Oryzias latipes: one gene and its partners. The protein of the gene in region 1 interacts with the protein of each later gene in a pairwise test. Links are inferred from orthologs where the notes say so. Each region holds a gene or a part of one and is shown in the gene's direction. Other genes may lie near its edges.

Region 1 (10,677 bases):
AAAATTGCCAAATTTCACATCAAATGGCCGCCAAGCCGTAGACTCATCCAATAATAAGTTAAAAACCTCTTTTAGACATCCCCGACACGTGTGTTTGATTTCCTTGGTGGATTTTGACCCATTGATTGAGCCTCAGAAGAGATTTTGGCCCCCGTTCGTCTTTTATTTGGATGGTTTCTCCTGCTGTGATGTCAGAAAACTGATGCAAAGAAAAACTGATGCAAAAAACTGGTTGGTGGAAAAATCCAAGAAAAGGTCACTTCAAGATCAACTTTCACACAATTAGACTGTGAAATCAATGAAGAAAAGGGATCCGCTTTCAAATTAAAAGCGTCCGGACTATACCCTTATTTTCCAAACTGTTTTGCTTTTGATATGAGAACATTTAAAAATAGCTTTACCCTGAATTCCTTCAATTTTTTCTTCACAGTTTTTATCTGAAATGAGCCATGACTTCATCAGGGTGGTTCATTTTTAGAGATCTATATGAATTTCTTTAAACCATGGTGGATTTTTATGTAGGAAAATCCCTTCACTGATATGCAGTGAAGGTCAGAAACATGACAATAATTACAGAAAATACATTAAAATGCACAGTCTTTCCCTTTTAATCAACAAAAACATGGAAAACGGTGTCACTGCAGCAAAGTAAATGTTTCCTCTCTTTCCCAACGTGTCTCCATGGAAGCGCATGTCCACCAGGTGAAGGACAGCCTAGCCCAGCAATCCCATCAGCTCATACCTGCTGTGTTCACTAACACATGAGGTAAGCAAGCAGACAGCAGCAGGGCTCCAGTCTGTTGACTTGGCACTGCCTGGCTGCACGCTCTTCCTGCCAGCAGATCCGCTGGTCTTTGATCTCTAATGGTCTTCCTCCTCCTTCCTCCCCGTTTCGCTCGTCCTGCTGAGTCAACGTCTCCGGTTTGAAACGAAAGCGAGCACGTTTCTGTCTCCAGGTCCCTGATGATGGCTGTGAAAGAAAAAAAGAAAAAAAAAGAAGGCAAAATGAGGGAGTTAAATCAGGTTCAGCTCAAAGTGAAGGATAGACTGGATTTTAAATTCCCAAGAAATGGTTGACAATTTTAAAACTCAAAAATGGATTTTGAAAACTTGAGGAAAGTATTGGAAATCTAAAAAATAAAAATGTAAATTTGAAAAACAAATTAACATTAAAATTTGCTAAATTAATTTGTAAATTAAAAAACATTATATTGTAAATTTGATAGAAATGTTAAAAATATAAGTTTAAATATTTGAAAAATAAAATTTTAAATAAAAATATGTATATTTGTTTAAACATTTATTGTTTTATTTAAAACCTGAAAGAAATATTGAAAATTTGCAAATGAAGAAAGTTAGAAAATAAATATATTTTAATTCACATTTGGTAACATTTTTAGGTTAACTTTTTTCTTCTTTAAAAGTTTCATGATTTCCTTCTAGTTTAAAATGAATTTATTTCAAATTTACAATAAAATGTCTACATTTCTTTTAAGTTTACCATTGAAGTTGAAAACGTTTTTCCTTTCCTGTTTTTTTGTTTTTCAGTTTTACAATCTGGTTTTTTTGTTCACCTCAAGAATATCCTGATTTCATATGAAATGTGGAGCATTTATGGAGAAATGGAAGCCTGGTTAAATGAAGCAACAAACCGGATCCCATTTGTCATTAATGGTCTGAATGTGTGTCCAGCTCTGCCCGGTGCCTTCCAGGCGGCGCTCCATGGAGTCCTGACGCTGAGCCGACTGGATGAAGCCGTCAGAGACACGATGCGGCGTGGAGGATGCACCGCCAGCCGAGCCTCCTTTATAGGAGCTTGTTTGGGAGCACAGGTCAGTTAATGCTGGTTGGCTTTGATGGCCTAAATCCTCAGAAATGGGCTGGTGGTGTAGTGGTCAGTGGTCCAGCCTTACTTTTGTTTTATTGTAGAAGCGTTCCCAGTGGTCTTAGAATTAGGATTATGCCATTTTTAGGCAAAATCCAAAAAACCTGTGTCGTTTTCTGAATTGTGGTGGGGACCAGAGCAGTCCTGCCCCCTTTTCCCTCATCATTACTGGAGCTCCTAACCCAAATCCAGCCCTGGAGGTCCACCCTCCTTCTGGTTTTCCAGAAAGCCTGCCTGGTCTGCTGCTGATTACCTGGATCAGGTGTATTTGGCCAATAAGGAGCTTGTTTGTTGGAAAACATGTTGGACACCGGCCTTCGAGGCCTGGATTTGGACACCTCTCTTGCTAGCTTACAGTGGCAAATTTCTAATGAACTCCTGCCGCTCTGCAGAAACAATGTCCTAGAAAATGGCACAATTTTTTGCCTAAAAACGGCCTAATCATAATTAAAGACCATCCCTCTGAATACAAACCTATCCACTGTGGAAGAATTATGCAGGATGGAAGCTGTCTTTCCTGTAGATTTTTGCTTTTTCATTTTTAGTATTTGGAAAGTGTTCCAGTTCATTTGCGCTAAAGACTCAGCATTTTTTGTTTTTTTTTTGCCTCATGTCTTTTTCAGAGCGGTCTTCAGGGAGTTCCGGAGTCGTGGAGGAAGAGGACGCTCAGATTCCCTCTCCTGTTGGAGCTGGCCAAAAGTGTGGTCAACAAGAGTCGAAGCGTGTAGTTCAGCTCCCGCTGTGCCACAAACACAACAGGCCATGTTGCGTTCGCTTACAGGGACATGATCCTCGCAGACTTTCCCGCTACAGATGGGTTTTTCTTTGGCAGCTGCAGCTAATGACAGCTTCATTCTAAAGCCATGTGCTGAATGAAACTTGAATCCTTTTGCTCTGTCAGAAGCTCCATCATGTAACCAAGTGATAGTTTGTGCAGGCTTCTGGTTTTTGGACGTCTCTGCTCCCATCGCGCTTCTGTTCTGTTGTCTGTATCAGGGGCTGATCGGAAAATCCTTTTTTGTCAGCTCAGAGCAGGGCTCTCTGGTCTTATTCCTCGGAGTGCTCTCTGTTATCGTGAAGTGAAAGAGCAGCGACGGGCGGATTTACTGCTGGAACAACCTCCACCTTCCTCAGAGGGCCCCGCTCTGCTCTGCAGTCTTTCTACAAGTGCTGATGTGTTCAACGCCTCCACCCCGACATGTATGAAAGTTGGATTTGTCCTCATCTTAACTTAAAAACGCAGCTTGACAGACAGTGAAAAACTGTTTGGTTTTCAGTATTTATGCCTCTCTTGTTACCTTAACCATAAGGAAATGTTTTAAACCAACAGTTGCAGTGGTAAAGCTTTAATTTCTGGTGAGCAAAAGTTTTATTGAATGCAGTACGGAGGCAGAGATGGCAGCTGACGGTGTGTTGGAAGCCTGCAGAGGGGAAGTCTGCCTCTGCTTGACTTCCTCCCACACAGCAGGTAGCAGCCCCACTCTGGCATAATCGCAACCAGATCTGATGATGGGTTGTGTTTTTCTAAAAAATTGGCCTGACTTCCCTCCAAAGATGCCTTTCTTACAAAAGGTTTGTAAAAAAAAAAAAAGAAAAAAAAAAGCACCATATTTATTTAATCTCTATACGTTTTGTGCAAAAAGCCATAAAAATGTAGTAGTTTTTAATTTCTCTGCCTTGGCTGACTGATGTTCCAAACATGAAAACTTTGCTTAGGTTCTCCACCAGAAACGAGAAGAAACTTAATCCAAACATTGCATATTGATGTCATTCTCCAAAACAACTCATTAAGAAGTAGGTAAAAAAAGTCAATTTTTAAACAATTAAAGTAATTTTCTAGTTTAAAAAATGCCCTTTTCAATGGTAACGTAACAAAAATGCCGATCATGTGACGCCACGTGAAAAGCGTCTGTTCCATGATTTGTGCTGCAGTTAATCAAATCAAATCCAATCCAATCAAACTTTATTTATAAAGTATAAGGGTAACTCTTTACAAAATTAAACATCTTTAAAAAAAACGGACACAGTACCCTTTGACATTACCAACGCAACATAGTTTAAAAATATTAAATAGAACTTGAAATATGAATTTGAAATTTAAGAAAGTTACTTTTTCCCCTCGTTTATCATTTATTTTCTTTATTTGTATTTTTTAAAGAGGCAAAATAAAGTCACTATTGTGTTCTGCTTGTGTGGTGCATTCAGTGTGTGTTTTAAAATCCCACTCCAATCATCTTTTGATCTATTTTAAAAGGTTTCCCAATGGGTTTTTAATGATGATTTTCATTGTAGTGGGTCTTTAAATGATGTGTGTACATTATGAAAAATTTCAGTGTTAATAAAGTTATTACAAACACTTGTATACATGTCTTATTACACACCTTGCACACAGCTATTCAAAAGACACTTTATCTCGCTTCTTGTCACTCCCTAGTTTATCTTATCTCAATATGATAATAAACTGTACACAATGAAACTGCGACACGAAACTACGACATTTCCGCGTAATATGTATGCAGCAAATGGATTTTAATGCCCAAGAAGTCATGCAAAGAAAGATGGAAACCTTCCACCTTCGACTATGTTCGTTTTAAGGTTTTGCCAACTAAAAATGTATGTTTGAAGTTTTTCGGTCATGCCAGCGTTGGACTATTATTATAATTGTATTTTAAAAATATAAATCAGAAAAAAATGTTTTATTTTTATTTTTTTCCCTCTTTTTTTTCTTTAGTTGTTAACTTGTCATTTAAATGTCGTTTTCTGGGGATTCCGGTATTCATTAAGCGCATGCGTACAACCCGTCAGTGCTGTCAAAATGTTAGGGTGGTAACGGGATCCATCTCGGAGTATACTATCTTTGTCTAGCTAAACAGCTGGGTGGACCAGCGACGAAATTTTGCTTCAATGACATTTTCCTTAGTGATGGCAGTTGGAGTGTGAGACCAACCTGATTTAGTAGCAGGGTTTTATCTTCACAGCTGTGCCATGGATTTCAATGTAAAGCGGTTCGCCGCAGACGCCGGTACTTTTCTGAGCCGTGCGGTACAAGTAAGTTTATGCACTGACGGGGGAAGTTGTGGCTAACTTTAGCCGTTAGCCTTATCAGTATAGAAGGCGTTAGCTCCCTTGCTAAGATGCTAACATTAGCGCCGCGAATTTTGTAGAGCTAATTAGCACATTTATTGCTAAAACTATTCTTACACGCCGTGAATTAAATTTTTATTTGTCAGAGTGTTTTAGTTAGTTGGACAAAACCACAAGTTGTAATCAAACTGCGAATAAAAGCCACAGAAAACCGTATGCTAATCAGATTGGGGGAACTTCTATTTCCATTAGCTTCCCTTCATGCTAACCGTGACACAGTCACAGTCAGCTCCTCAACTCAACCCACATTGTCCAGTTTACAGAGGAGAAGCTCGGCCAGGCTGAGAAGACTGAGCTGGACGCTCACCTGGAGAACCTGCTGGTCAGAGCTGAGAACACCAAGCAGTGGACAGAAAAGATCATGAAGCAGACAGAAGTCCTCCTCCAGCCCAACCCAAGTAAGAAGACCACACTAATGCATTCATCGGACCTGATACATCAACAAACTGGAGCTTTTATTTTGGTGGCAGACATGTTTGTTTTCATCTCTTTTGAGTGGGGGGAATGTCCAGTGTTTGCTGGATTATTTATAAATTAATGAATTATTAACTATTAATAAATACAGAATCCACATTCTGATTGGTCGTTATAGTGATTTTTTAAAGCAATGTTCAAGCTAGGTCTTCTACTTTAAGGGCTTGATGTACTATCTTATTAAATTAAAACTATGTACATAAAAAAAAGAAAAGACAATTCCAAAATTATTCATCTGGCTGCATAAAATGTTTAAATATTAACTTTTACATTGTTCTTAGGCCATCAACCTTATCTTTTTTAGATTTTAAATCATTTATTTTAATGTCATTCTATTACTTTGAAATGTTTTCATTAAAACTAAGTGTCTCAAAGTCTCATTTAGTGTATTTTTTAAAAGTTACTGTGTCTAAAATCTATTATATGATCATTTAGGGGGGGGGGGGGGGGGTCGTTATTCCTTAAAAAATTGTCCATCTTGGAATTTTTAGTGGTAAAATAGGCTCCCCCCTCACCTGGGTGTTGATTTTTTTTTAAAGATAATGCCCTTTTTTAATGTCTAAAAGCCCACTCTAAACAACAAAAATACTTAAAAATAACAATAAAATTCTATACTAGTTACTTTTTTTATTGTAACTGGATACAAGCATTTATAATTTGTATTCTAAATATTTTTTTAAGTAATTAAATAACCTCGAGGGTCCTTATCAATTTAAATGTAGACATTTTAAACGTGTTTTTTTTTACTATCAGAATAGGATCTGGTCTAAAAAGCTCTGCAGTGAGAGTATTGGTGGAGGTGGGGGGGTCTGTGTGGCCTCAGCTGTTGGCCTCGCACTGTGATGCCGTCTCACTGCGGTCCGAACCCCATCAGAAGCCAAACAAACAGAACGTCTGGTGGTTCCAGGTCTAATGCATTTGTCTTCAAACCCACCGCATGCACATGAATAGATTCTTGGAAAAGAAAAAAAAAGTTTCTTGATGAAAGCGGCTGCTGGTTTTTCCCCACACAAGTCTTGTGACTCCATGATTGAGTTTGGACGCTGTCATCTGCAGATGTCCGGCTGGAGGAGTTTGTGTACGAGAAGCTGGAGAAAAAAGCCCCCACGCGAATGAACAACCACGAGTTGCTGGGACAGTCCATGATCGAGTCAGGAAGTGAATTCGGCCCTGGAACGGCGTACGGTGAGTGGCGTCCGTGACGCTCTGATGACACCTGCTGTCTGTCACGAACGTTGTCTGTGATTAAGCAGATTCTTTTGGTGCAGAGTAGAAATCTGAGGGGGGATAAAACCCCATTTTTACTAGTAAGTCTGTAAAGAAATGTTGGCGTAGATGGGATCATCCAAAGAATGGAATCAAAAACTTAGAGAAAAATGCATATTATAACCAACAACAATGCAGTGATTGTGTTTTTTTTGTTGTTTTTGCATCAGTAACGTCTTTGTTTCTTAAGGCCGTTTTGTTCCGCCGGACTTTCAAACTATAACTTTATTTGAATAGAAATCGTTAACGACACGGAACTGGTTTGTTTTGAGGTGTTTTAGTTTGAGAAAGCATCAATTGTATGGTAACAAATACAACAAAAAAGTGTGAAAGTTGTCGTTTTTTTAACATGTAGTGAGAATTTAAACACTTTTGTGTCTAGCTTGGTGTCAACAAAAGAAAAAGTTGAACTGTACTTTACTTATTATGTCTTCTTTTGTTAAATTCCGCTGAAAATTCAGTTTTTTCCAGCTGGTTTGTTTTTTTTCCTTCTTTAGTCAAATTGGTTTATGTTTTTATAATGAGATATGAGCTCCAATATTCTTATCTGCTGACAGCTTTAGATATGTCATTTGGCTGTGATTGTGTGCTCTAGAATCTATTTCCTGCTGCATTGTGGGTCAGTTCCTGCTCTGTGTAAAGTGTGTTGCTTCCCCTGTGCTGACCGTGACAGGAAACGCCCTGATAAAATGCGGCGAGACGCAGAAGCAGATTGGCGGGGCCGAGCGCGAGTTCATCCAGAGTGCCGCCATCAACTTCCTCACACCTTTTCGAAATTTTCTGGAAGGGGATTTTAAAACCATCCTGGTGAGTTTGACGACTGACTCAGTCATTGTTTAGCTCAGGGGGGCCCAAATCCAGGCCTGGAGGCCTCCTCCTGGTTTTCCAGAAATCCTGCCTTATCTGCTGCTGATTACCTGGATCAGGCCTGTTTAGCCAATAAGGAGCTTGTTTGTTGGAAAACATGGTGGACACCGGCCTTCAAGGCCGGATTTGGACAGCCTTGGTTCGGAGGATCAACAACACACTAGCATGAGCTGCTAGACACTGACATGTCATTTAGAGATTCCCCCTTCATGTTTTGACAACACGGGCTCTCTTTTAAATCACAGGTTTCCTCTTCAGTCAACAATGAAAGTCTGAAAAGCTGCAAATCGAACCAGAGACTCGAATCCATGAAAACAGACGTCATGTCATTGAGGACATTAATGGCTGGATTTGTCTCAACTTACTTCAAACAAACAAACAAAAGTAAAAGCGACGGCCCTGTCTTTGGGGCTAAAGGTCGCCACAGAGCTTCACTCTAGTCCTCTGAAAACCACCAACCAGGCCAGAAACCTGGCTGCAGTCATGGACACAGACCTGAGTTTTGATAAACACGTGAAAGCAGTCGCAAAATCAGCTGACTGTCTTCTGAAAATGAATTCACGGATTAAAGATCTGAGATTCTTCATGCTTTCATCTTTAGGCGACTTGCTGACTGGAACGGTGTTCTTACTACCAAAAAAAACAATCAGGGAACCGCATCTTATTCAGAACTCTGCTGATGGGGTTCTCCCAAGGACTAAAACAAAGTAGAACCCCATCAGTCCAGCTCTGAGGTCTTTAGACTTTAGAACGTTTGAATTGTTTCGCACCAAAAGACATGATTGACCTCCTGACGCAGCAGCCAGACCTCTCTGCTCGTCTGGATCTGCTTTTTTGTCATAAACCAATCATGGAGAAGCTGCATTCAGCTTCTATGCTCCACAGATCTGGAGCCAGCCTTAGATCAGCTGAAGCTGTTGATTTAAATCCAGGTGAAAGACTGGCCTGTTCTCAGCTGCATGTGATCAGTTTGGATTCACACGTTAACATCTGTTCTGTTCCTTTAAGATGAAGAGAACTTTCTTTACATTTTTATTTTTAATGATCGCTCCTTTAACTGCGTCTTTTATGTCAAACACTTTGAATTGTTGAAATTAACTTTGCCATGTACAACATTTGTATTACACAATCCTACTTATTGTGTTTTTTAAACTTGTGTTTTTCAAAAATGTTCTTATGAAACATTTGTCTTCTATATTTCCCTTAGAAAGAGCGGAAGCTGCTGCAGGTGAAACGTCTGGACCTGGATGCAGCAAAAACCCGACTAAAGAAAGCCAGGATGAGCGACGCCAGAGCTGCTGTGAGGACACACGCACACACACGCACACACACACCAACACACACACACACATACACACATTCACATTCATATTCACATACAAACACACACACACATACAAACACACACACAAAGATGCACACAAGAAACAGATGCAGATGCACAAACAAACAAACACATACACATAGATGCACATACAGACACACATACACAAACAGCATGCATACACACGATATGCACACTCACGTATACAGTGATGCATGTGTGAATTCACAAACACAAAAACACACACAGACCTACACGCACAAAGATATACATACAAACACACACACAAAGATGCACATTCAAAAACACACACTCAGAAACAGCATGCCTACACAAAGTATCCCCACACACATTTACAAGGATGCACAGACATACACACACACACACACACCCAAAAACACAGACAGACCCAAACACACACACACACAGATGCATATGCAAACACACACACACGGCATGCATACACACAATAAGCACAGAAACACACAGATAACATGCACACAGAGGTGCACAACACCCACCAAAAAACGCACCAAAAGATTCCTAATTGGTGTCAGTTGATCTGCCTTAAAGATGTTGACGTGTCTTTCTTAGTCTCTCTCTGCATCCACAGAAGTTCTGATGGTCACACACAGACGCACACACAGACACACACACAGACGCACACACTAACACACAAAAAACGCACCAAAAGATTCCTAATTGGTGTCAGTTGATCTGCCTTAAAGATGTGGGCGTGTCTTTCTTAGTCTCTCTCTGCATCCACACAAGTTCTGATGGTCACACACACACACACACACACACCCACACAGTTACACAGGTTTCACCTCATGTGACTCATGAAGTCACATGAGGAGCTACAGGAAGCGAGGAGTTCCCTTTTTGCTCTCACTATGTTCTCAGTTTTAGGAGTCCGACTGATTTAAACTGAAGTCTGTTCTTCTTCAGCGTCTTTTCCATCTTCATCTTCCTTCTAGTGTTGGAATCTTTGGAGATTCTTTGGACGGGTTTTGTCAGAGCAGCTTCAGTTAAACCAGCATTTCCGACCTAAGATAACTATTCGTAGTTCTAAATGTGTTTTTCGTTTCGTCTGCGTTTTCAGTGCGTTTCAGAGCTGCAGTTCCTCCTGAAGCATTTCTGCAGTGGAGCTGCACCTCTGTGCCTCGATGCCTACATTTCCCAGAAAGCTTTCTTGAATTTTGACAGAATAAACGGGTTTAAAGAAAGTGATTGTGAAACATTTGTTGTTGGTTTCTGTGCAGCGAGTAACACAAGCTGCACATTTGCTAAAGAACGCTCCGTCCCGTCAGCTTGTGTGTCGCCGTTTCACATTCTCCCAAAGACGGCGGCGGCGTGGCGTGTTGGCCGTGCAGCAGCTGCAGCTCTAACTCATGTGTCACTGTTGTTTTTTTGTTTGTTTTTTGTTTTGAAAACTTAAAGCTGCAGATGTGAGCGGAGGAAACAAGAGGTGAGTGGAATGTTGGAGCAATGTTTGGTAAAGCCAGCAGGTGGCGCCTGTCCCTCCATGACCCTCATCCTACATGGACATGAGCCAAACCCTGCAAAAACCTACCGCTTCAGATCGGATCAAATCAGATTTGTTCAAAGATCCACTACACGGAAAATGGTGTTTTCAACTTGAAGGAGGACAGAAACCAAATCAATTATTCTTCCGATTGCATTTCTGAGTATGTATTTATTCAAGTAGTCGTAAATC
Region 2 (10,677 bases), on another chromosome or scaffold:
TTTTATTTATTTATTGTTTGGATTTTGTTTTTTATCTTTTTTATGACTTTTCATTTTTATTATGAAAGTAATGTTTCATATTTAAACATTTCTAAATTGTTATTTTTGTTTATAAATTAGCCTTTATTCGTTCACTTTTAACATAATAGCAATTTGCTGATTTTATTTTGACTGTTTATGTTTGTTGTAGTTTCTGTAGGCATTTACAGTATGTACTTGTGCAGGGGGTTTTTCTTAGAAAAATATAGCCAATTTAATTTCTAAAGTACACATTTAACTATAAAATTGAATAAGATGCACAGAAGAATTAACTAAAAAGAACTTTTCCAAATCCATGCTTCTTTTACTCTTAGCTAATCAATGGGCAAATATCATTGATCACAAACTACCATTGGTATTTCCAACTCCAACAGTGGCACTCTAAAAGGAAATTGACCCACGTTTCTACCACGCACCCACAGAGGCATAAACCCTCTTAATCCAACTTCCTGTCTGATCAATGTCAGAAACAATAGCTCAACAGGTGTGACAGACAGGAGCCCAGCAGCAGCTTTCTTCCCTGCCGCTGGGTCCAATTAGCACCCGCGGCTAAGGAACAAAGAAGCGACATTTCATTTCAGAAGTGTGCCAGTTAAAGGCCTCTTCCATCAACCTCAGCCTCTTTTCTTCCTGTCTTTTGCTGCTGACATCTTTAAAGGATCATCCCTGGCTGCATCATTTTCTATTAGATTGGGTCGATGCCTAGTGCTCAAAATGGCAGGGGTGTTAAAAACATGGGGTGTTGATGAATTCATTGCATGTGACTGGACTTGCTTTCTTTGTGGCGAGGGTTTCGTAAATAACACTCTTGCGAAGGCCTGATAAAAGGCAACAGTATCTTCAGGGTTTAGCTCTTCAATCATTGTCCTGACTGGATTTGCTACCTAAATTACTGTGGCAATGACATATCCCTTAACTTTTTTATTTATTTTGCACATGTGACATCTAAGGGAGCACTTTGTTTTGAAAGCCTTTCAAACTTTTTATTTATTGAAAGGATTTTCCTTATATCCAACAATAAAACTTTGATTTTTAAAGAGAGAACTTTGTTACAAAATCTAGATCCTACAAAATATGTACAGGTCTAAAGCTAGTTATAATCAAACTGAGAATATACTGATGTCTTAAAAATAATTTAGTATGAAATTATATCAAACAAGCAACCTATTACAGTTTTTCTCCATTGGTTTGGCTCATTTCTTGAAACAGAAATTACATTCTCAAAACAACATGGACAAACCTCCAAACCACTTGGCAATTGTTCACAACAGAATGGAATTTCTCATTGATTTCATCAAATTGCAAATGTCTCAGTACATCTTTGCAATTTATGAAGTACATGTAGCGTACATTAAGCACAATTTCCAAGTGAATAGATCTTGTTGATCTAAACTGATAGTTGATTTTCAGTCTAATGGTTGTTCGATCCAAAATGAGTCAGGATCATTTCATTGTGTAAGTCATCACATGCAAAATAGTCAGTTCAACTATCAAAATTAGTCAAGAACATAATACCATGAATAGGATATATGAATCCTTTGGAACATTTGATAAATTTATAAGAGCAATTGACAGGTGAAACTAGAACTTGACTAACAAAGCAGGAGTTTCACACATCTCAGATGACCAATCAAACAGTGTGTTTAGTCACCTGACAAGTGCTGTCCATGACTGTGAATGCTGCCAAAAATGTATGTAAAGAGCTTGACCATGCAGGACCAGTAAAATGTCTAAACATGGAGACACCTGGCCAGGTAAATGAACATGGGCAACTGCCTGCTCGAGGAGGAGGAGGAGGAAGAGGAGGAGGAGAAGGAGAAGGAAGAAGAGGAGGAGGATGAGGAAGAAGAGGAGGAGGAGGAGGAAGAAGAAAAGGAGGAGGAGGAAGAAGAAGAGGAGGAGGAAGAAGAGGAGGAGGAGGAGGAAGAAGAAGAGGAGGAGGAGTAGAAGGAGGAGGAGGAGGAGTAAGGGTGCGTGGTGGTGGAATAGGAGGAAGAGGAGAAGGAGAAGGAGTAAGGGTGGTGAAATAGAGGGAAGAAGCCGAGTAGGACGAAGACATCATCCCGCCCAGATGAAATTTGGGCCACAATTATAGACCATGTCATCAACCATGGCCTCACAATGGCGGAAGCAGGTCGCCGAGTGCATCTTAATGTGCCTCGCTCTACAGTCTCCTCCATCATCCAAACCTTTTGTAGAGAAAACAGATATTTAGTCAGTCAGTGATGGAATTATATGTTGTATAGGATAGGACACTGTGCATAAAGCAAGAAATATATTTGTTTACACATTTACCTATTCATTTGGTGCGAGTGTGATAGGCCTGGGATGTTATGATACTAAAATTGATAAGAAAAACATTGGAGAAAATAAACTATGGAACTATTCCATAAACTATGGAATTTGTATCATCATCATTGATGATGATACAGTTTACAGTAGTATTCCAGTCACTGTGCATTGATGCATTAGAATTGTGGTAAAGTTACTGTAAGTAAAACAACAATACAATTACATATGTAACTCATTCTGTAAGGAATACATAAGGTATACATTAAAGTTTTTCTCCATTGGTTTGGCTCATTTCTTGAAAAAGAAATTACATTCAGAAGTTTGATCCCTGAAAATGAGAAAAGTCTAGTAGGGCCTCACCTACCACTATATGTTATTGTATGGGACAATGTTAATTTCCACCGTGGCCCGCTCATCAGGGCCTCATCCAAGGATGGTCATAGTGTTCCTACCACCTTACTCTCCTTTCCTCAATCCTATCGAAGAGTTTAGCTCTGCTTGGAGGTGGGGAGTGTAGAAGCATCAGGTTTAAGATCAGAGGTCCCTGCTCCATGCACTGGATGCTGCTACAGCAGCTGTTCACAGGGCTGACAACTGCAACTCATTCCCCGTTCGACCTCAGCTCTCCTACTATCCCCCTCCCTCCTCCGTGCACTGTCTGGAAGAATGTGCCTGGCTCACGGAGCTTCACCTGAAGGACAGATTCATGGGGGCCCCTCCTCCCTCCATCTTCCCCACCCTCCTGAGCCTTGTGCATTGTGTTTTGTCTGCATATGTGCTATTTGTGTTGAACCGTGTAGTTTTTTTCTTGTACCTAAACATTGTACGCAGTGTAGAGATACGACTTTTTTTTGTCACCAATGCCCCACCCCCCCCATTGTAGACCATCTACATGCTGAACAAGGTTGCGCTGGGTTCGGGCATCACGGCCTGGGTCACAGCAGCATGACCTCAGTCAACTTCTCAAAATGTATGTGTATTTTTTGTTTGTCTGATCTTGTTCGAGATGTACTGGAACTAAATTTCCTTGTGAGGGATTAATAAAGTACGTTTGAATTTGAATTTGAAAGTACACAGTTAATGTATGTGTCAGAGGTCAGAGCTCCTCCCCCCACCCCCCTGGTCACGGGCGGTAGCTGTCTCCGGAGTTCTACACGCACTACATCTCCCAGCAACCCCAGCGTGCAGTTTCTGGATGCTGCACACCTGAATCTGAATTGCACAGAGCCTCGCTAAGTGTTCATGCCGCTCTGCCTGCATTCCTGGCGGTTCTTCTAAATCGAAGATCCTTATTCCCTGACCCTGTTTTGTCTCTGACTCCGTTTGCCTGCTCTGAGTCTCGCCTGGATCCTGACTACTCCAGTTTCTTCTCTGATGCTTCCATGCTCATTGTTGACCCCTGCATGCCTAACCCTGATATAGATTTGTGAACTTTCAGCTGTGCTTAGAAAACCTGCTGCAATTTAAATCAGACGTCTGCCGGTTTTGTGACAGAATGACTACATTTATTTACAGACTTGACCTGAGCTCTCTCTTTCTTATTTCATATTGTTGCACATAGAAAAAAGGACTTCAAGTTATTCAAGTCATAACCAGATGCCTTAGTAAAAATAGATCATCTGACATCAAGCATTAGAAATGTTCAACAGATTCACCCAAATCCACTTTCAAGCAGTAAGAGTGTGGCCTTTAACAAGCTCACATTTAATTGGCGAGAGTGGTTGCCATAGAATTATTGACTCAGAAAGACTCATACTAAATATTGCTTACTGCCGTTGTCTGGCTCCAATGTGGCAGCGTCCATAATGCAAAGAACATGGCAAATGAATTGACGTCATTTTGCTGTAGCCAGTTATAAACCATTTTCTATAGGTGATATTACACTCACTTGGTCCAGTTCACATACAGTATATACTTTACAGTAAATACTATAGAATAAAATACTATATAGAATAAAAGCCATGCAGCCTCATTATTCCCAGTTCTGGTACCCAGCCCGGATACAGGCCTGTGAAGGGCATCCAGTAACAATTTACTTGTGAAATGTCACATCTTTGTTTTTCCAGCTCTGTTTTTGCAATTGTAGCATGGCAGTGAGACGGCAAGTTGCTCTTTTTTAATATGGTGTCGAACTTTGCATATATAGCTTACCTCGCAGTGCAGCGTCTCTAGCCCATTAACTCCTTGGTTTACTCATTATTAGTCTCACGGTTGTTGTTCTTGTTACAAAACTCAATGAGTCAAATATACAACTTAGTTTTAACTTGGGATGGTACCAAAACTCTGTACCAAGTTGCTATTGGTACCATTTTAAAAACAAAGATTTTGGGAGGCCGGTAAAAGAGGCCATGCAGATGCACAGCACACCTGTGTGGTGATTCAGTCAAAATGCAGAGGGCATAACCAGTGAAAGTTTGGTTGTACTTTACAGCAAAAGATTCTAATTCAGAGTGATGTGTACAATGCTAAGAAAAAAGTGAAATACGTGTTTGCTTCCATGTGTGCGTAAAGGGAGATGCTGCGCTGCAGTGCAGACTGTCACGGAAATAATGCATCTTAGGCACATTTAAATGCTCTCCTTCACCCTGTCACACTGCTTCATCATACTTAAATGTTTATAGGGGAAAAACTAAAAAATGTAATTTTTGTAATTACATTTTTTTATTTTATTTTGCTTATATTGAATATATTTTGTTGTGGAAATCAGACATTGAGTATTGAAAAAATATTTATTACTTTACCAAATTTAATAGCTCCATGAATTTGCTTAAGTTGTATATGAGATACAGTTGCCATGCTTGATGTTCTGATCATTAATTAAAATATATTTCACTATTTTATTTAAGTGAAAGATGAATTTATATTCTGACAAAGTTTTTCTAATTCATACTCTATAAAAAAAAACAGTGAGAATTTGTCTGCCATACCAATACAAACACCCCTGATTACTATTATGCATTTTATATTTTGCTTTGTATTGCTTTTTTCTGTTTATTTCAGGTTCAATGATGGTTAGTGACAAACTGTCAGTAAACCTTAAACTAAAAAGATAACTGACTTAAACTAAAAAATAAGTGAGAATGAGAATCACAGACTGAGCGCGTGGGATGAGTCATGGGTAACCTTAGATCTTTATGTGCGCATGCGTAGTGTGGAGAATTTCATCGATAACAGATGACAGTTAACGTTTGATACCAAGCTGGAGTCTCTTAATTCATGTTTTTATTCATTTACAAACAGCGGACAAAGCTAATACTAGAACCCCGACATGATAGTCAGATTTTGACGGAGACAGGAAGATGTTTATGTAGAAACCAAGTAACCAGGAAGTGCTAAGGAAACGCTGTCGCCGCCTCGCTGATTATGAGATTGTTGTGTTGTTCTTCACTGGGGAAAGCTACCGGGATTTCAGCCCTTTTCATCGTAGGGTTTGCCCTCATTTTGAAGTATTTTGACGACGACACCGTTCCGGTAAAATATTTAAGGTAAATGACGTCCGTGGGTTCACGTTTACTCCACACCTGGACGCTGACTGATTACAGCTGTGAAACCCTACAGATTATTGGGATTTAACTAAACCTACTGATGAATAATAGAGCAATAAGTGATTTGTATTCATACATATAGTTGTAAAGTATATTGTTTAGGATTTCTCTTCTGTTCACTCTTATTTTTTCAGCAGCGTGTCTAGAAATTGTTTTAACCCTTGTGCTGTCTTAGATGACCCCACCCTTACGTTGACGTGTTCTACCTACCATGACAAAGGTGGATAAAGGTGAAAAGATTTCATGTAATCCATGGACACCAGTGAGGTTCACAAATCATTGAAGAAAAAAGGTTCAGCGCACTGTCTAGTGGGTCTAGATGACCCAACTCCCAATGTTAAAGTGCCTATGATAGCACAAGGGTTAACGGGAGCAAATATGGGCACAGATTTGGGAAAGGGGGGCTTCTGCAGCATGCGTTCATTTCTGTTATGGTCAGGGTAAATACTCGATTCTGATTGGCTGCTGGGTGTACATTATAAGACGGACGTCGTTTAACACATAATGCCAAGTTGCAGTGGCTGGACACACCCCTACTTATTTTGACACAATCCTGGTAGAACTTTCTGTGAACGCATGAAGGATTGGATCCGTTTTTTCTTCTTTGGTCCACAGTATGTCTGAAGACATCGAAGCCCAGGAGGAACATTTCAGGCGTCAGAACCAAAGCTGCTTCATCCTCGGTGCTTCTGGGGAAACAGGGAAGGTGTTGCTGGAAGAACTTCTCCAGCGCAACATCTACTCCAGGATAACACTGATCGGGCGGAGAAAGCTGACCTTTGAGGGCGAAGCCTATAAGAACCTGGTTGGTGGTTAGTGAACCTGGTTGCACAGAATCCAGGGTGTTCTCTTCAACAGGTCATCATTTTGAATCCTCACAGGTACAGGAAGTGGTTGACTTTGAGAAGCTGGACGAATATGCTGCTGCCTTCCAGGGCCACCATGTGGGCTACTGTTGTCTGGGAACAACCAGAGCCAAAGCAGGAGCGGTGAGTTCATGCCGCCGCCATCAGCCCTGCCTGCTGGGAGTGTCTTTAGTGATTAGGAATGACTCAGCGATTTTTATCTGCACACTTCATCAGGGAGCGGGGAACATGAATACATCCAGTTTGTTTAGGTCATTAACAGAGCTTGCAGGCTGACAAACATTACTAAGAAAACGACAATGACTGGTTACAGACATGACAAAGTTGTGGTTATATCATGTGGGACATGTTAGTTTTTTTTTTTTGCTATGTTGAAGGATGTTATTTCTTATTGCACACAGAAAGAAAAAGCTTTCATATTTTGAGGCTTTCTGTGATTTCTTTTTTTTGACTGCTCCTCCTTAAAGTCCCTCTCTGATCATCTTTTGTCTATTTTAAAGGGCTTATATGCTTTTCTTAAGCATTTCAGAGTAAACTATATCTATATACACAATAATAGATTACCTTTGGCACACTAAAGAAATGTTTTTAATGATATCTGAGTTATTTTGGCAGTTCATTTCCCTACCCGTAAGTAAGATGACTCGATCTCTGAGGCTCCGCCTTTCGCTCCTTGAGGGTACCACCCATTTCATGACGTCATCCTAGAGTCTGTTGTAGAGTCTGTGTTTCACACATAAAAACAAACAACATCTGATCTTTTGCAAAGATGCATGTGCATATTGTGCATATAAAAGGAAAGCGTTTTTGCCGATGAGCACTAGCTTCACGAAGAAAGTGTGTGGGTGTGTGTGTGTGTGTGTGTGTGTGTTAGCGTTAGCCTGGGGCCAGTGCTGGCATTGCAGACTCTTCCTGGAAGGGGCTGTTCCTCACTTTGTGACTTCACAATGTGAGGACCCACTCGATACATAAAGTTTAGCCAAAATTGCAAAATGGGTTTATACAAAAATGCACCTTGTTTCAGAAGATCCATTAAAAAAAAGGAGTCAACCTTTTAATACAACGAAAAGCTCGTTTGTAAAAAGTTGGTTTTGCATGGGCCCTTTAAAAGCGTTCTCTGTGGTCTTTTAATTATGATCTGGCAGTTATTTGCCAAAATAAATAAAAAAGCCTGTCATTATTTAGAACATAGTTTCTGCAGAGCGGCACGGTGGAGCAGTGGTTAGCGCCACCCCATCAACCTTTCCGTTCTCCCCCGTGCATGCGTGGGTTTTCTGTGGGGACTCCGGCTTCCTCCCACTGTCGAAAAACATGCTTTATAGGTGAATTGGTTAATCTAAATTATCCCTAGGTGTGAATGTGGGAGTGCGTGGGTGTGTGATTGTGGACACTCTACCCTGCGACAGACTGGCGACTTGTCCAGGGACCTTCTAACAGCCCCGTCACCCCAAAAGGGGATAAACGAAGATGAATGAATAGTTTCTGCAGAGTGGTTCATTAGAAAGTCACCTATGAGTTGGGGGTGGGAGTGTTGGCGGGGCGTAAACCTACCCCCTTCCCATAATTCATCTGTTTTCATTCGTTAGCTTACAAGCTCTCACAACCAGTGTAACAAAAATAGGGAGCGATATTGGTGGTAATCTTGGACAGATTGGAAATGGAAATGGATGTATCAAGTTTCACTGCTCCCATTTGTTGAACCTTTTTGCCAAAAAACATCAGACATTGGTTATTTTCCTGTCTGTAACGTCAGCTGGAGTTGAAAAAGAAGGCAGTGCACAGCATTGTAATCTGAATCTTTGCTTTTACTATGGACTAAAGGCCAACTAAACAGACTGAAAAGTGAGGTCTTTTTTTAAATGAATCTAACAGTTCAGTTATTGATTGTCATCCTTGTCTAATTTATCAAGCCCCTGTCATGTGAGCATTAACAGTGCAGCATTCAAGAAACCCATCAAGAAGAGTGACTTATTTAGTTTTCTCAAATGATCTTTGTTAAATTTGAACATTTATGTATTTCCTCCTTTTTATTAGGAGGTCAGACCCAGTAGGCAGAGCTGAAATCTCCTGTTAGTTTGTGCGATTAGTTTCACACTTGAGTGTGGGGATCGTCTGCTTTCACTGATGGTGGGCTCTTTCAGAGGCAGAAACCTCATTTCTTCTCCACTGTCTAGTTTCTTTATTTGTTCATGCTCTAACGAACTGTGAAGCCATGTTCACACCTCCCTCGGCAAAGCACGTTGAAGCGACCACTTTCAACGAAGAGTCCACGTTTAACCAGTGTAAATGGGTGTCCTGGGCTTCTGCGTTCTAAACCTTGGCATGAATGTGTAGCTACACACATTTCAAATGCCATTTTTGTGCTCTACGCACAAAACGCGCAGCCATTGAATGTGCATTGAAAGTTAAACCAGCTCAAACTTTGACCAGTCGGGGACTCTAATTTTCTAATGATGTGTGGATGAATCACAGAATTGTCAACAGTTTGAAAGTTCATCATTGAGGAGAAATTAGTATGTGCGCTCTATGCCCGGCTGGAATTATATTACACCAAGTCTTTCATGTATCAGAGTAGAGCTATGAAAGAAAAAGCCTAGAGCAACATTCATCAGATTTCCACCGCTTTGACATTTCACACCAAGACTCTACCAACTGTAGGTGGAGGACATGCACTAGTAAACAGTAGAAAGAAGAAGAGGCCCCTCCCTGACAGAGGCTGCACAACCAGAACACTATAGGCTAAATGCGCGTCACATCCCTGGTGTGAACATTGCTTCAGACACAATAGCAGTTATTAAAAAAAAAAAAAGGATGATAAACATAAACAAGTTGTCTTGGCAAAAACAATAAGATATTGATCAATAATGAGATACAGTCAGGACCATAAATATTTGGAAAGAGACACATTTTTTCTAATTGTGTTTCTGTACATTACCACAGGGAATTTTAAATAAAACAACTCAGATGCCATTGAAGTGCATTTGAGATGCTACAAAACCCAGCATCTGGTGATGTCCATGAGTTCTAGACTCTGGAACTCTCTACCTCCGGACCTCAGAAACATCGGGTCTCTCTCACAATTCGCCAAAAAACTGAAAACTCATCTTTTCCAACTCGCCTATTCCCTCCGATAATTTCCTATTTCTGGCCTATTTATATGTATATTTTATTGTGCATTCGATTGCTTTTATTTTATTTTTATTTTCACTTTTATGTACGGCGACCTTGGGTTCCTTGAAAGGCGCCTAACAAATAAAATTTATTATTATTATTATTATTATTAGACTTCAGGCTGTCATTGCCAACAAAGGGATTTCTACCAAATATTAGTAATGAGCATTTTGTTTTCAGTTATTTCATCTGTCCAATTACTTACGAGCCCATGAAATGAAGGGATTGTGTTTAAATGTTTACATGCTTAAATTTTTCCCATTTTTGTGCAATCTTTTTGTTCAACCCATGGAAGCTGAAAGTCTGCACTTCAATGGCATCTGAGTTGTTTTATTTAAAATTCACTGTGGTAATGTACAGAAACTGAATTAGAAAGAATGTGTCTCTGTCCAAATATGTATAGTCCTGACTGTATTTACTCCCCTTCTGTCTTTAGGTTGGTAAGTGCCTCTTTGATGCTCTTTTACTTGAACTGGGTTAAATCAGGGAGTTCTTTATGTCTGATCTTGCTTGTAAATTGTAATATTTGAATATCATTCCTTTTGTCTTCAGGATGGATTTGTGCGAGTCGATCATGACTATGTCCTGAAATCAGCAGAGCTCGCCAAGGTGGGAGGCTGCAAACAGTTTCACTTGGAGTCCTCCAGAGGAGCCAACAAAGACAGCAGTTTCCTTTACCTCAAAGTCAAGGTCTTCTGTTTGTAGTCTTCATGTTGATTTCCAGCCAAACATGTTTTTGCGAAAATGTTTTTGCTTTAAATGGT
Region 3 (10,577 bases), on another chromosome or scaffold:
AAGGACGAGGATCACCTTAGTTTAGTAGATCTTTTTTTTAACTTAAAATATTTTCTGTGAATGTATCTGCCTAAATCTAAGATTTAATGGGTTCAATTAGTAACTTAAACTGATCTCTGTATGAAAACGTGCTTACGTATTTTTGTTTCTTTCTGCACAGCATCTGGGCGAGCTGCTGGTTGGTTTTCTTAACAGGGATCTGCAGCCTTCCTGTCTGCTGGCCTGTTTAGAAACAGTTCGCATTTTGTCCAGAGACAAACGTTGTGTGGATCCTTTCATCAGCCGCTCAGCCATGTCCACTCTAGCCAGGTATGCTGGCATAGCCACGGCTCAGACTGCTGCCGACAGCCAGCCAGGAGAGGGCAAACGTAAGTGTCTGTGTTCACTGGTTGGTTGTGTCTGAGTCAAAACCATGGTGCTTCTGCTTGATACGTTTTCCACTACTACTAGCCTGTTCTGTTCCGATGGAAGGTGATGGGTCTCTGGAGACCTCTCTTGATTGCTTAAATAACTTTTAATTTGAAGGGCAGTGATGTTTGTGATCATGTCAATGAAGGAACACTAAGAACCATAAAGGCTTGAGTCCACAACACTTAATGTCTCGTTATCAGAATCTAAAAAAACACAGATGTCGACGCTGTTGTAGGAAAATGCACCACTGATGCATCAATGACATCATAACCATTCCAGGGTTATTCCAAATCCCATTTTTTTGGCGGGGGAAGTTAAGGAAGAATGAAGACCGACCCATAAATTGATGCAATATTTAAAACAGCCACTGTGTTTGTGTACATGCCAGCTTCAGTCCAAGAACCCCCCCCACACTGGGGAAGTCATTGTCTCGCCACGAGGAGCTGACACCAAACACCACATTAATGCAGGCTTAGACAGTGTTCAACCCTTCTTGAGAAGATTGGTTCCAGAGCAGTTCCAGCATTTTCCCAGCCAGTGACGTGACATTTCGTGTTTCATTTGCCATTCATGGTAACCAACTTTTCACCACGGCATGATGCTTATTGCACCCCAATTCCAAGGCCCCTCTTGTAGGACGTGACCGGCTGAGATGGGGGCTCACGAGTAAGCCCACACCAACCCCCCGCCTCTCACCTTGAGCAACTCCAGAGTGGTAGAGAGTCCAACCCCTCTCTAAGGACTGAGTTTCAGAGCCCAGGCTATGTGTGAAGGCGAGCCCGACTATATCTACACAGTATCTCCGAACCTCTCACACCAGCTCAGGCTCCTTCCCTCCCAGAGAGAGGACGTTCCATGTCCCAAAAGCCAAGTTCCATGACCGGGGTTTGGGTCACCGAGACACCTGCCCTCGACTGCCACATTGCACCGGCCCCTTTTGAGGTCTCCAACGGGTGGTGGGCCCATGGGAGAGTGGTCCCACGTCGCTACTTCGGCTGAGTCCGGTCACTAGGCGCTCGCCTGCGAGCCCCAGGCCTAGCCCCAGAGTGGGCCAATCCGGGCGACGTAATCGGGTTCTTGGTCTTTCTTTTCATCAGAGGCTTCTGGACCGCTCTTTGTCTGGCTCGTCACCCAGGACCTGTCTGCCATGAGAGACCCTACCAGGGGTTCAAGCCCCAGACAGCTTAGCTCCTAGGATCACTCGAGCTCTCAAACTCCCCCAATATGTTAAGGTGGCAGTTCACGGGGGAGAAAAACTAGCTTTTCAAAATTTTTACTTAAAAAAATCATGTGTAATACTTTTGTTTCTTTTTTTTTACCAGTGATTGTTCCCCCAGAAACATAACTTATGGAACCATCGCAGTGACAGTTGTACACCAATTTAGAGCTCTGGACATTTTTAGAGCTGAACCCCTGCATCATTTTTAGCAATAAGTTCATTTCTTGGTGTGTGACGTCCTGTGTGTGTCTTTGTGAAACGGATCAGAGAAAACGTGTTATTGTGAAAATCAGAAAACATTAAAAACTAAATCATAGAACTCATCACTGGAATTTTCCTAATTTTGTGTAGCACCAACAGTAGAAATCCTTGAAAAACCTCAATACTTTCATAAACAAATGATCCATAGTTCATTCATGATCTCATAAAGTGCAGCTGTTTTCCTGCATTACCTGTGTCTTTATGTCGAATACTGACACAAACTAAACCACAGGCAGATGTAGAAAATACATTTATATAGAAAATAAAGACGACTCATCAAAATGTCTGCAATAGTTCATAAAGAATGACATCATTAGCATAAGCTGAGTCATCTAAAGGCACCGATGATCCAGGTGTTGAGCAATCCAGGCTGCGCTCTGTGCGCCCTCCACCCCTCCACACATTTGCGGCGCCTTCTTAAAGACAGAAGCGCGTGCAGCTGCAGGGGCGCCAATACACAGGTTCCAGGCTGCTTTTTCTTTTCTTACTAGCACTGAGCTGCCGCTCCCCCTTAAATTTGCCCGTATGGCCCGTGCCTGAAGCCGCCACTAAACCCTCTGACTCCCTTGCATGCCAGGGAGGGTGATCGTATATTCCTCTGCATGAATGTTTCTGGCTGTTTCACAACTATTTAGATTTGGAGTCATTTTTCATCTGTTTTCTTTCTAGTAGAGGATAAAGGGGGAGATGAGGAAGGGGAAGCAGATACGCTCAGAGCTGCAGAGAAGGAAGCCTCTCCTCCTGCAGAGAACCCTGATCTGGAGGTGATTGTCGAGGCTCTCAAGTCCATCTGTAACATCCTGCTTCACAACGAGACTGGACAGGTGAGCCTGTCGTCAGCTCTGCAGCTCACAGCCAGCGTTTGGTTAGAGCTGAAGTGTTGATCTGATGACTGTCTGCTGTTGATGACAGGCGGTGGCGGCAGAACTGCAGCTCATGAAAGGTGTGGCAGAGAGACTGAAACACTGTCGTGATCCCACGTGGAGCTTTGAGGTATGAACCTCCTTCACACTTATTTTAATGTTAAAGTCAAACACTTTTACCAAACCATCTAAACATGAAAAGAGCATACAAATGTAGCTTCAGTGATTGTCTGTCTTGACTTCTTCTCTGAAAGCCTCCAAACAAATCCGTTCCATTTTAACAGAACACTTTCATGAGATAAAAAAAAACAAATCAGTTGATTATATTTGCTCTTTTTTCTCCCTTTAGAAACTGTCTTTGAGCAAAAACACTAAACATCGTATTTGTCTGTGCAAGGACACTTTCAGTTTAAGAAAATCCTAAAACTCTGGTAAGATTTTGTCTTTACTACAGACTGCTGTCTGGTAAGATGTACTGGCTAGAAGCAATGTGTTTGTCTTTTTGTGTTACACAAAATGTGAGTCATTTACTTCTGAATGACTCGTGGATTGATGCAAAGAGAAACAGACCTCTCCTGAAAAAAGCAGCAGAACTACAATGGATGAAGAAAACATCAGTGAAACTTTGAAAGTTCTTTGGAGAGCGGTCTCTCAGCCCAGAAACCGAGTGACGTTCAAACGTTTTGCACCGAGGGCCAGATTTGGTGAGGTGAAAATGAGTGATGGTCAACCTTTTGGCCTAACATTCTTCGAACTATTTTAATAGCATTAAATGCAAATGAACTACTTAATGAACATATGTTCATAATTCACATACAATACAAATATATCTAAATCCATTTTTACATTCCTTATTTGTCACACCATTCGTTTCCAGTTAGCTTGTCGCTGATGGCATCTCAGGTAGCTCTTCTTGATATTGAAAACAGCCATAGTCTCTTGGCATATTTGACAGACGCAGTTGTTTCATATTTCACTAAAAAAAAAAGCCCATGTCTTGGACTTATCCTGGTGGCGGTGGTTCTCACTGTCAACTTTTCCTTTCATTTAAAGTTGACATTTTAGAGGTGAGCTTGAAAGAGTCACAGAAGGACAGTGTTGCCATGGTTTTACATGTAGTTAGGCCAATCACAATCAGGAAATCCCCCACAGTTTGTAGAAAATGATGGGGGCTGCATATTACTGTTTTGATGACAGGAGCCATCCGGCCGGTGGAAATTTGAACGCTGATGCATTTGGTCCATATGTTGCAGGCTAAAATAGTTCTGGTCATGTTTTGTCCTCAGACTTGCTGTTGTGCTTGTTTTCCAGGTGCGTTTCTTTGACTTGCGCCTTTGCTTCCTGCTGACCGCGCTCAGGGTGGACGTGAGGGCACAGCTGGCTCAGGAGCTTCACGGCATCAGTCTTTTGGGTAACGTGTGAAGTGTTTACTCTGCTGAGTTCTGAGCCTGTCTCTCAACATCGTCCTGCAGCTTCTGGAAATGTTACAGAGTGACAGAACTTACAGAGTCAAAGCACAGAAGAAGAGGAGGAGGAATGGATGTGATGTCAGAAAGCACCGCAGATGCTTGAGGAGCTGCAGACAACTCAGAGAGGGGGGGGGGTTACAACTCTTCACAATAGTCAGAAAAACTGCCTGTATAAATGCATTCAAGCAAAAAGCTGCTATACATTATCAAACTTGGCAGAAATGGGGGCGTAGCCTCTGACTGACAGGTGATTGTGCAGATGTCTGCTCAAGAAACATATGATTGGGCTTGTTCCCACAGCCAACAATCCAGCAACTCCTGCATGGCAGCTTATGTTGCTGTTTCAGCAGTTTGGTGCAGTTAGAGGGAACTGTTTTTGGAGTTGACTTTGGCCGGTGTGGGGTCTGTGGCTCCTCAGAGAGAGAGCAGCTGAACGTCTAATGACATCTTACTTAGTTCATTCATTTTCCATTCCCTTTTGGGGTCACAGGGCTGCTGGAGCCTATCCCGCCCACTTGTAGGCGAAGGCAGGGGATGCCCTGGACAGGTCGCCAGTCTGTCGCAGGGTGGAATGGCCACACTCACACTCACGGGGAGAACATGTCCCCCAGCTGGGACTTAAGGCAGGGCCCTTCTTGCTGTGAGGCAAGATTTTCAAATCAAAGCTAAAAACTCATCTTTTCCAAATGGCCTATTAACTTTAACATTAACCTTTTCATGTTTTTATATATTTTTTATTTAATTTTGTATTTATTTAAATTGTTGTTGTTGTTTTAAGTGTTTATTGTATTTTATACTGTATACATGCTGTGCGGCGACCTTGAGTGCCCAGAAAGGCGCCTTATAAATAAAATGTATTATTATTATTATTATTATTATTAAGAGCACTAACCACTGCACCACTGCGCCACCATGCAGTCTATCTTACTCAGTGAGATGGATTTTATCTACGCTGGAACTGGACTTCTACTGCCGATGAGGATAAATAGAGAAGCTTTTAATAGAAGATGGAAATGTGCTGAGAAAAAGATGCCTTGTTTTTTTTTACCAGGTAACCAGCTGGATGCTGCACTGGGTCTATGTTGGCCTGATCCTCTGGAGACAGCCAGGGTGGGGCTGGTAGGGGTCCCTCTCGAGGAGATGCCTCCTCTGAGCAGACAGCAGACAGAGCTAGCCATGGAGATACTGAAAATCCTCTTCAACGTCACATTTGACACAAACAGACGCAAAGTGGATGAGGTAACCACAGTAATGCCACATCAAGGCCAGTTTATCTTCTCAACATCTGAAAACCACAGCTGCAGCTTGACTATAGGTCAGCATTTCTACCTGACAAGCTTCTTCTTCTGCACGGCTGCACACAGTGCAACAGGCTGAAGATGAACCTCTGATCGGAAGATTGATATGTTGAAGTGTCCTTGGGCAAGGGACACCACCTTGCCTTTGGTGGTTGGCGCCAGTGTTTGGCAGGAGAGCCACCATCAGTGTGAATGTGACTGTAAAGTGCATTGGACCTTCAAAGAAGGTAGAAAAGCGCTATATAAGTATAGTAGGGGGGTGTATTGGCAAGAGTCTGGTGATACGATACCGATCCCAATATTGTACCGGAACACGTTTTTCTCTTTTTTTGTAAGAATTTTAATACGTCTTCTACTGTAATAAAATGGTCAAACTTAATGTATTTAATGATCACAATGTTAAGCACTGCAACTTTATCTCATACGTTGCTTTTACCCAAATTCATAGTGCTTTTATTTTGGTAACTTAAAATATAGAAAGGAAACAGTCAACATTGTCTGATTTCCACAACAAAATATATTTCAGTATAAGAAAAAAAATGGAATGAATGTGCCTTAACCAATAATGTTGGAAAAGTATGATTGAGGAAATAAAGCGCTTTTTATTTCCAATACAATATTGTTTAATGTAGCTTCTCCAGTACTTAAAGGGTTCAGGATCTGAATGGTGCTTCAAAAATAAAGGGGGGCACTAATTATTTCACGGATTAATAAAGTGTGATGATGAGGCAGCGTGACAGAATGAAGTAAAGCTGCTTTAATGTGGCTAAGATGCTTTGTTTACATGACTCTCTGCTCTGCAGCTGCAGCTCCGTTTTCTCACACGCGGTAGTAAACTAGTAACAGTCGTCACCACCATGTCGTCCTTTTTTCAGAGCGTTGGACACATCATTGTGATCCATCAGGTCTCTGAACTAGAATCTATTGCTGTGAGGTTCTGCAGAACTTTGGCCCGCTTTGCCGACAGCCTTTTGGCTGATGCTCAGTGCATTAGCTGCTGTGCAGCTGCAGTGCTTCACTCGTTCTTATCTGAGCCGCTACAAAGCACCGCAATCTGCGTTTTTATATGTTACTGGCAGCAACACGGCACATTTTTGGTTCAGTACCCATCCCAAGTAAAAACTAAGTAGTTCATGTCTCATAACAACAAGCAAGCTGCCTCTAGCTAAGGTCTTCCTGTTGTTTTGTGCGTGTAGAGCTGCTGGTGTGCTTTGCTGCCAACTAGTGGTCGGAGGGTGAAGTGGAAAACAAGAGTCAGACAATGAAGGACACTCAGAAATAAATAAATAAATATCGTCCTGACAGCATTTTGAATCAATGCTAGTATCTCCAAATGAACTATCGCGACATATTGCCGAATCTATTTTTTCTAACACCCCTAAAGTATACACCATTGACCTTTTTTATCGCTGTTATGAGCTGTTGTACAAACCCCACCTGGTTTGTCTTGAAGGACATGTTTGTCCAGTGAAAGCGGTGGTTCTATGACAGCGTTGTTGTGTGTGAAGGAAGAAGCAGCGGAATACAGACACTTGGGGGCCATACTGAGACACTGTTTGATGAGTCAAGCAGATGGAGAGGAGCGCACCGAGGAGTTTCACAGGTAATGCTCCTCCTTCCTCCTTCATTCATACAGTCACTGCTTCCTGCCTGTGATATTCCTCTCCTTCTTTTCAGTCACACAGTCAACTTGCTCGGTAATCTCCCCCTGCCTTGTCTGGATGTACTGTTGATGCCAAAGGTGCAGCAGGGCTCCATTGAGTACATGGGGGTCAACATGGATGCTGTAAAAGTGCTTCTAGACTTCATGGAGAAAAGACTTGACCGGGTAAGATGGCAACTCATGCAAAACAACCAGGAGCAATGATGGTAAGAAACAACCCCACGAGTCCAAGTTAACACTACAGGTAGTCAATGTTTGACTCTATGACCCATGCAGACCATGACAAGACTTTCTTTTTTGGATGTAGCCATCTTGATGTTGAAAATAAGCATTCTTATTTTTAGTGAAGAAGCCAAACACTGTTGAGTGAGTCCATCCATTCAATTCAATTCAATTCAATTCAATTCAATTCAATTCAATTCAATTTTATTTGTATAGCCCAAAATCACAACAGCAGTCGTCTCGATGGACTTCGAAGTGAGACATGAACTCAAAAGGATCATGAATATAGGAAAATACTAAATGAACTAACAAACTGACTAAGCTATACTGGCATCCCTGCCCTTAGACCCCCCTTCGCGCCAGGTGTAGGAGCAGGAGCACAGACGAGGTACACGGTCAGGAACAGGAGCACGGATGAGCCAACTGGAGTCTGGAAGGACTCCCACTCCCCAGTGGGAGAGGGAAAGAGGGACAATACATGAATCGCACTGCACCAAACAGAGGGAACTAAATGATGAAAAATGATCAAAAATAGAGAAGAGAGGAAGGGTAGAAGTAGATGAGAAAAGAGGACAGAACCCCAGTGCACCATAGTTACCCCAGCTTCAACTTCTAGCAGCCTTTAAAAATAAACTGTTATTGTTATTAAGTTTAATTTAAACACATTAAAATTAAGTTAAATAATCTCTGAATACTAACTAGTCTGATAAGAAGCCTGTGCAAAGTTTAGTCTTTATTTGTTCATCCATCCATCCATCCACAGATCTGCATGTCCATCCATCTTCCAGCCATCCATCCCTCTCTTTCATCCATCCATCCATCCCTCTGACGGTAGAAATGCTGCCTGTAGTCAAACATCCGTATGTCTGTCCATAGATCCATCCGTCCATTTGTCTATCCACTCCTCCACCCACCTTTTTACTTACCTATCTTCTGTAGTATAAAATGCCTGGTGATGGGTGCTTGTGTAGCTCAGGGACTTTCTTGTGGCTGACATGAATCCAGGTGGTGCCCTCAGCCATTTCGAATGTGGTTTGGATGGCTGGAAGCACCTAGACTGGACCATGTCACAGATGAGCCATCTTGTCTTCCTTACAACACTGTAATGCAGCATCGTCACAGAAGGGAGGGGAGCAGTCAGCTGATGGCCCCGTGCTCAGAGTGGGAACTCTGCCCAACAGGACTGGACTGTTTTCTCAGCATCATTTCACTTTCAAGCTTTCATTTTCTCCTCCCACTGCACTCCCACATGGGGGAGGAATTGCACCGTGCCTGTTGGTGACTATTTCCAGAAATGCCCCCACCTGCTCCAGTGCTGTGTTGGCAAAGTGGGAGTTATTGTACGGCTGATTTTGTTGGGAATTCTCCATCTGGGATTTATGTCTGCTGGCAGAGGCTTCAGTATTCCAGTGTGCAGCCAGAGCTCCAATAGTGCTTTGATTCTCTGGTCTTTGCCTGCTGTCTCCACTCCTCATCAGCTTGTTTGCTCTGGCCTGGTCTGCTGACATTTCTCTGCTCCCCCTGCTTCTCCACCAGGCTCTTGTTGCTCGCCTTTCTCCTTCCAGAGGTTTTACTTCTGGCACATTTTCATGACATGGAGAACTGTTTGAGCACTGACTTATAAAACTTTGTCCACAACTGTGGAAGCAGAGCCTGGCAGTTCTAGAGTCACTGGTTCAATTCCCATAGTTGGGTTTTCTGGGTTGGATTAATCTGCAAAGCAACTTGTGTTAAAAATGTTTCTATAGACTTTACTGCAGTTTGTAGGTATTATATTTGTGCTATGAAGATAAATATCAGTGAAGAAACTGTGAGTGTATGGAGCAGAAAAGTACAACGTTCCCTCAGTGCAGCATCACAATCCAACAAGAGTGAAGAGTGAGGCGACCGGCCCACCTTGAGTAAGGTGGTCGTTCTGCCGTGATGAGCAAGAGGATCTTGGATTGGTTCTCATGTGGTGTAGAGTTTATTAATACTTCCCAACATGCTGCAGCAGAATTCTGTCATGGGCCTTTAAATGTTTCATGCCAGAGTCCGCAGCTCTGTGAATCCACCAAAGCAGGGCTGGCGAGCCCCTCAGCAGATCTGCCACACGAGGAGGACGAGGAGGAAAAATGCTTTTTCACTTTGAGGATCACCATTTGTGCATGACCTTAAACTGAAGGAACTGGAGTCCAGCATTAGCAGAACTCAAGCAAATGCTGCTGAAATGTTTTCCCAAACAGCAGCTAATGTCGTATTTGAAAATTAATCAGAGATTTAATTGACAAGAAATGTCTAGTAGGACTAGAAGTGACAGAGAGAGCCATCAAATGCTATGTTAGTGTTGTAAACCGTCTTCGTGTGCCTTTTAAAGCCCGATCCAAATAATATTTATTATTATTATTAGTGTTGTTTTGCGTCTCATGCTGGTCCTTTCAGGGCCACAAGCTGAAGGAGACTCTCCTCCCGTCTCTAAACCTGCTGACCGAGAGCGCCCGCATCCACCGCGAGACCAGGAAGTTCCTGCGCTCCAAGGTGAGTGCCCGTTGGACTGACAGGAAATGCATGCACGCTCGCATTCCCACGTGTGTGCGTGTGCTCGCAGGTGCTGCCCCCCCTCCGCGATGTCAAAAACCGTCCAGAAGTGGGAAACACTCTGAGGAACAAAATCGTCCGCCTCATGACGCACATCGACACCGACGTGAAAGACTGCGCTGCTGAGTTCCTCTTTGTCCTCTGCAAGGAGAGCGGTGAGAGCCTCTTCCTCGCTGAAGCTGCATCTCCAGCCTGAAGATCTAACCTGGCGTTCCCGCCAGCGCACGCCTCTGCTGCTCTGCAGAGACTCGGCCTCCTGAGTGGAAAGACACGTCCCCTTTTTTTGTATCACAAACATGATCAGACACGTTGGTTAGAAAGATTTCACTCTTTTATCTGCATCAAAGATCCAAACAGACGGATTTTGATCCCATTAGAGGCTGGTGGCATCAGCGTTGTAAAAACATTTCACTGCTTCTTTAGCTGTCAGTTGTCTTCCATACTAACACTTTGCCTGTCTAGTTTCAAGGTTCATCAAGTACACGGGATACGGGAATGCTGCCGGCCTGCTGGCTGCCAGAGGACTGCTGAGAGGAGGCAGAGACTCCGGCATCTACTCTGAAGATGAAGACTCTGAGACGGAGGAGTACAGAG

Evidence for each region.
Region 2: the proteins of endophilin-B1 (region 1) and htatip2 interact in binary tests that used the Homo sapiens proteins (3 or more experiments, as listed by UniProt). The link is inferred for Oryzias latipes from reciprocal best matches to the Homo sapiens genes SH3GLB1 and HTATIP2.
Region 3: the proteins of endophilin-B1 (region 1) and ric8a interact in binary tests that used the Homo sapiens proteins (3 or more experiments, as listed by UniProt). The link is inferred for Oryzias latipes from reciprocal best matches to the Homo sapiens genes SH3GLB1 and RIC8A.

The regions. Positions count from the first base shown.
Region 1 is NC_019878.2:11,769,641-11,780,317, forward strand, and holds the start of endophilin-B1, read left to right. Parts: upstream 1-4,608; 5' UTR 4,609-4,870; coding exon 4,871-4,933; intron 4,934-5,285; coding exon 5,286-5,427; intron 5,428-6,559; coding exon 6,560-6,688; intron 6,689-7,442; coding exon 7,443-7,576; intron 7,577-8,843; coding exon 8,844-8,936; intron 8,937-10,677. UniProt on the Homo sapiens protein: May be required for normal outer mitochondrial membrane dynamics. Required for coatomer-mediated retrograde transport in certain cells. May recruit other proteins to membranes with high curvature. May promote membrane fusion.
Region 2 is NC_019861.2:6,470,957-6,481,633, forward strand, and holds the start of htatip2 (oxidoreductase HTATIP2), read left to right. Parts: upstream 1-5,477; 5' UTR 5,478-5,694; coding exon 5,695-5,816; intron 5,817-6,491; coding exon 6,492-6,681; intron 6,682-6,757; coding exon 6,758-6,865; intron 6,866-10,465; coding exon 10,466-10,603; intron 10,604-10,677. UniProt on the Homo sapiens protein: Represses translation by preventing reactivation of elongation factor eEF1A. May also inhibit nuclear import by competing with nuclear import substrates for binding to a subset of nuclear transport receptors.
Region 3 is NC_019864.2:5,136,959-5,147,535, forward strand, and holds part of ric8a (synembryn-A), read left to right. Parts: intron 1-160; coding exon 161-368; intron 369-2,560; coding exon 2,561-2,715; intron 2,716-2,803; coding exon 2,804-2,884; intron 2,885-4,065; coding exon 4,066-4,165; intron 4,166-5,274; coding exon 5,275-5,462; intron 5,463-7,029; coding exon 7,030-7,124; intron 7,125-7,198; coding exon 7,199-7,349; intron 7,350-9,827; coding exon 9,828-9,923; intron 9,924-9,993; coding exon 9,994-10,138; intron 10,139-10,445; coding exon 10,446-10,577.